Kluyveromyces lactis: one gene and its partner. The protein of the gene in region 1 binds, or shares a complex with, the protein of each later gene. Links are inferred from orthologs where the notes say so. Each region holds a gene or a part of one and is shown on either strand. Other genes may lie near its edges.

Region 1 (2,561 bases):
ATGAGCATGCGGACTCAATGCGGCATCAAAACCGTCTCCGTCGCTTTCCAATTGACACATTCTGCTTTACCTTTGGGGGGGCCAAGAAAATTGCGATAGCCGTTTCCTTAAACCTTTAAACAGAGGTTTTCTACGCAGTTTTGTGCGAGTTGTAAGGGGCCTGGTCCGAAAATCAAAAATTTGTGGGTCCTCCAGAAAATCTTCACTGATTGCTTGGCGGCTATTGGGTGCGGGTAGAGCAGAAGTGGATTGCGAGTGACGGACACGGTTACCCGGAATATGCAGGTCTGTTAATGTTAACAGGCGCGAGTTCGAACCTCGCCGCATCCAAATATACTTTTTTTTGTTGGGTATCGATCCTTTTCATTCCGGTTTCTCTGGCATATACCATTACGCAATTGCTAATGCTGATTTAACGAATGTTTCTTTAGATATCAACCACTATTTATTATTTACTATTTACTTGTACTTACGGAAAGGCGTTTCCTTGGGTGGGAGAGTGATAGTCATCATACTTTTTCTGGTATTTTTCCGCTTCACAAGAACTCACTAGCCTTTCTTTTGTAAGAATGACAATCTCTTAGCCATTGTCTGTACTGTGGTATCGAATTAATCTTTTCACCGTAGTAATCCGGCACAGGGTTACTGAAAGATTGTGATTGAGGATTGACTCTGTTCTTTTGGATTTTGGCCAAAAATGAAAGTTGCTTCTCTTGAAACTGTAATAATTTGGGACCGGAAGTGGCCTTAAACAATGCAGTACCCACAATTGGTCCCAATAACCAACCAACAGCAGCACATGTGATCATACCAGCAGTAATTGCCATTAGTGGATCGAATCCAAAGATTGTTTGAGTTGGATCGATTTCCAAAGTGGAGAAGTAAAACCACGAACCGTTAACGAATACTATGGCTGTCGCAACCGAAGAAGCCGTGTTGAAAACACGTTCTTTTTTACGTAGCTTGAAGAATTCTGGCCATGTCATTTCATGAGAAGCTGTCTTACCAGCATTAGTGCTATTCATTCTGATGGCAACGGCATTGCGTGTAACGGCTCTTTTCAAAAGAGATTGTCCATTTAGTCCAACCAAAAGACGGTTCTGTAGATTGATTCCTAGTCTCAACATAGTTTGGGCTATTTTTCCGTGGTATTTGGTTCTTATTGCCTCTGATATCCGAGTATACTACTTATCGAGTAACACAGCAGAAGAATTGGCTGTTTGATGCTAGTTCAAACAGGTGATCTGGATCCACCCCTCGAACATTCCTTATTGAAATCATGTTATAAGCTCATTTGGTAGCTTTCCAAACTTTTTTTTGGAATTGACAAGCTTCAATATCCACGTCCGGGTAATGAAAGTACCGCTTTTTCCAATCTCTTGATCAAATGGTGTTATATCTCGAATAGATCTTCATTTGATACAGATATATGTTACGTCCGTTCATCATTGCATGATACTTTCACTATTCTAAAGCTGTCTATTATAGTTATAGGTTATATTGTTTGCCTTGCACGTCTCAAAAAGTAAGTCTTTCTGTTATAATGTCTGATGTTCTAGCTTTTGCAGAAATAGTGCAGGGCTATATTCAATCGCTAGAAGAACTCAAAGAGACAAAATTCGATAGTAATAGTGAATTGTTCTCTGAAGTGTCCCAGGAACTTGTCAGATCCAAGGAATTACTGCTACAGTTACAGGAGAGGGAGAATATACTGAAATTGAGAGAATCAGGACCAGATTCAGAGTCACCACCATTACCAGAGATTAATGGTGATATAGTAGAGACTTTGTCATGTGTTATCACAGACGATAATATAACGAACGTATCACTTGTTGGCGAAGTTGCCATCAATGGTACCAAGTGGGATCAAAGAACGAGTGATTTGTATATGAAATTCAATAATGTTAGTTCCGTTAAGATTAACGACACATTCCTGGAGCCAGTGGATGTGGTTCAGAATATATACAAATTGAAACGTGAACGCGAATGGGACAACGTGGTTACAGGATTAGTGAAATATGCAGTGACAAATTTACCACAGGTTCAATGTCCGATTCTAGTGACACCCGTATGGCAGTTCAAAGAGGCCGAGATCATCTCAATGATCAATTTAAGACCTTTAATTCCTGTCAATTATACACTATTGAAAGTTTGTATAAAGATAGGCACCAAGGCCCAAGATATTTTATCTAAACCTACTGGATTTTATAACCAAGTGGATGGTACCATCCAATGGGATCTGCCCATGCTGGAACAGGATCAGATTCTGATTTTGAGATATAAAGGTGGACAACGAACCGATGTTGTCACATCTCAAGCAATTGGGCCACCGCATGTTCGTATAGATTTTACCGCATCACAGCTGTTGACACAGGTTAACGTGGAATACGGATATTCACCAACCAGATTAACGGACCTGCCGTTAAACGTAATGACTATTTCTGGGAACTATAAGGCCCAGTGATTGTCAAGCGTTATCTTTACTCAGACTATAACCCTTGGCAATCTGTACTTTTCGTTTCTGGACGATTTAAAAGAGATCTCAGACGATGAGGAAGATG
Region 2 (2,716 bases), on another chromosome or scaffold:
TCAAAGATTGGAAAATCTTTTTGATGTTTGTTCTTAATAAACCAATCATCAGTAGTGGTTAGTACTATCTCAAGATAATATTAATACACATATACACCATAGAAACCTACGGTTTCGGTTATCTCTTTTCTCAAGAAGTTTTTCCTAGGTTTCTTCGGAGATCTAGGAACGGCTTTAGTTAATACTGGAGAAGAGTGACTGTTACCATTTTTTAACCCATAGCTGAATGGATCCTGACTAGCCCCAAACAAGCTGGCCACAGTTTCCATTTCGTTTCCGGTTTCTTAGATCAATAAAGTTGGAAGCGCATTGAGTTGGGAGGGGAAGTCTCTTCCTTTTCCCGGTTTTTTGCATCACTTCTTTCTTTTAACCATTATGAAGAGGTCTGGAAAGTGATGATTAGAAGCGGTTTAACAGCTCGCTCTAGTTGTTCTTCCAGGTGTTGCATGTGATCCAGAGGGCTTTGCGTAATGGCTGCCTGAGAGTTTGGATTTTCACTCTCCGTTGTGCCCTTCTTCATGATGGAACAGTTTTCCCATCTTCTAGAGAATTTTTGTATTAATTAGTTGTAGACATAAATCAGCTTCATCAACCACTGATGATATTGTGCTGAACATGATACGATGAGCATGCGATGCGTGTATTTCGGTTTATTTGAACTATTTACAAAACTTATACTAGGCCAGAGAGAATGACCTTACGCTATTTTTTCAACTCCGGTGACTCCGTCGTGGAACTCGACTTCGCTTGTTCTTGATTCAGTTCTGGATTGGCAGCCTTTTCCTTTTCAGCAAGCTCGTACTTCAAACGCTCTGCTGCCCTGTAAATCTTACTCTGCAAGTAGAATGATCCACCTTTCTCTTTATCGTTGATCTCGAACAAATACTTGAATCTTTCGTTGATTTTATCCAAATTCATATCCTGTTCATTCTCAATGTTCAAAATCTTAGAACTCTCATCTAAAGTGATACCTCCGTATTCTGCGCTAGCACCACGGCCTCTAGAAGCATTTGCCGTTTGTTTAGCTGTTTGAGCTGCTGCTTGTCTGTAAGATTCCGCAAACGCACGTCCAAACACCTGTGCCCCGGTGAAAATCACCTGTATAAACGCTCTGTGTGCCATATCCTATAGTCTTGTTGTATTTCTTGGATATGCGCAGTTTACTCGAACTGGAACGGCGTTCTTAGACAAAGCTTAGAAGTTAATCCGATGAGTAGTTTAGTGTTTAATGCTGTTATTAGTTCCAGTTCTTTCTGTTCTCAACTTTTCGATGACTTTTCGAAAACAGAAGGGGTTACCCGGGGATGTCAAGACCAGCCCCACATATTTGCTGTGACACCGTCAAATAACTATATATCTGGTTGACAGCTATGCCTCATTAGAATGATTTAGCTAGTCTACAATGACTACAGATGGAGTTTGTAATTGCATTCGCTCATTCAGGCTTTTTATAGGGTATTTTTATGAGGTTTTAGCTTCTCATTCCACATTGTAGAATGTGGCATCGGAAACGACGCAGGTATCAAGAAATTAAACGATAGGTGATCCCAGCAACAGCAGCTACGCTGCTGTTGCATTGATTGGGGATGTGAATTCAGCATGCTAGTACTAGCGTAGTACTGTAACGGGGAGGAGGGGGGGGATCCAGTTTGGGAGCGTGGCTTTGTATCTGGGGTCATGGTCACGTGATCAATTATTAGCAACTCAACACCCAATCCCCATTTCAAACTTGAGATACCTCTTAGTACTCAGGCCATACTATCTTATGGCCTGAGATATATAAATTCATGATGGCTCGTCTTGATGTATCATGCCCTCATTTTTACCATTGTTCCCCCTCTCTCTCTCTCTCTCAATTTCGGTTTAAATTGAAAAGTTGAGTAGTTAATTCTACCGAAACAAACGACTTCTCCGAAACTAAAACAGGTTCTAACAGACACACAAGGACTCAACAAGCGTGATTCAATCGTATCGCAGGTGGTTCAAACTAATTTAGGTTGCATCTCGCCGTAAGGTTTTTGTATCCTACTTTCAAACGCATACTTCGCAACTCTGGTTACGGCTCCGGTTCCGAACCAGTTAATATTGTTTTCGCTGGTCCGGAGAGAATTCTATAATAAAAGCACTTCAGACACAGAGTAAGAATTAACTAATGTCCAGGCCAGTTTCATTGGAGCCCCTTCACGGACACACTGGGCCTCATCAGCAGATTACAATTGCTCCTAATTTACAGCCGAAGAAACATGAGAAACCCACTGGGATCACGATTCGAACGTCTAGGCACTGGGTTCTTCCACCGAGGCCTAAACCGGGTAGAAAACCCAGTCCTTCTTTATCGATAAAGCAGCAACTGGCAAATGTCAAGGGTATGGCTGTAGAGTCCACTACGCCTGCTTCTGCTTCAAGTACTAATGCCAAGATTAAACAAGAACCTGTGGAATCAGTGAAAGAAGTTGAGAATTTGAGACCGGGATCGAAAAAACACTTGGCTGCCACTGTTATTGATTCTGGTAAAAGTTGCTCTTCTTCTGATCAAGGTACAGTAGCGTCATCTACAACGACTGCAGTCCGTACAGGAGTGCCAACCGCAAGCTCCTCATCATCATCATCATCATCAACTATCCCGTTGACTAACTGTAAATCTACAAACGCCAAGTCAAAAGCAATACAAGTTGAACAGACAACATCGATCACTCATACCCAGCCTAAGCCCATC

Evidence for each region.
Region 2: PAM17 (region 1) and PAM16 share a complex: the UniProt entries of both Schizosaccharomyces pombe proteins name them as parts of the PAM complex. The link is inferred for Kluyveromyces lactis from reciprocal best matches to the Schizosaccharomyces pombe genes pam17 and tim16.

What each region holds. Positions count from the first base shown.
Region 1 is NC_006037.1:561,604-564,164, forward strand, and holds PAM17 (Pam17p), read right to left. Parts: upstream 1,128-2,561; coding exon 537-1,127; downstream 1-536. Other genes in the region: SYP1 (Syp1p), read left to right, coding at 1,544-2,464; KLLA0_A06127g (uncharacterized protein), read right to left, coding at 2,485-2,561. UniProt on the Schizosaccharomyces pombe protein: Component of the PAM complex, a complex required for the translocation of transit peptide-containing proteins from the inner membrane into the mitochondrial matrix in an ATP-dependent manner.
Region 2 is NC_006042.1:1,282,684-1,285,399, reverse strand, and holds PAM16 (import motor complex subunit PAM16), read right to left. Parts: upstream 1,123-2,716; coding exon 703-1,122; downstream 1-702. Other genes in the region: transcription factor HAP4, read left to right, coding at 2,153-2,716. UniProt on the Schizosaccharomyces pombe protein: Essential component of the PAM complex, a complex required for the translocation of transit peptide-containing proteins from the inner membrane into the mitochondrial matrix in an ATP-dependent manner.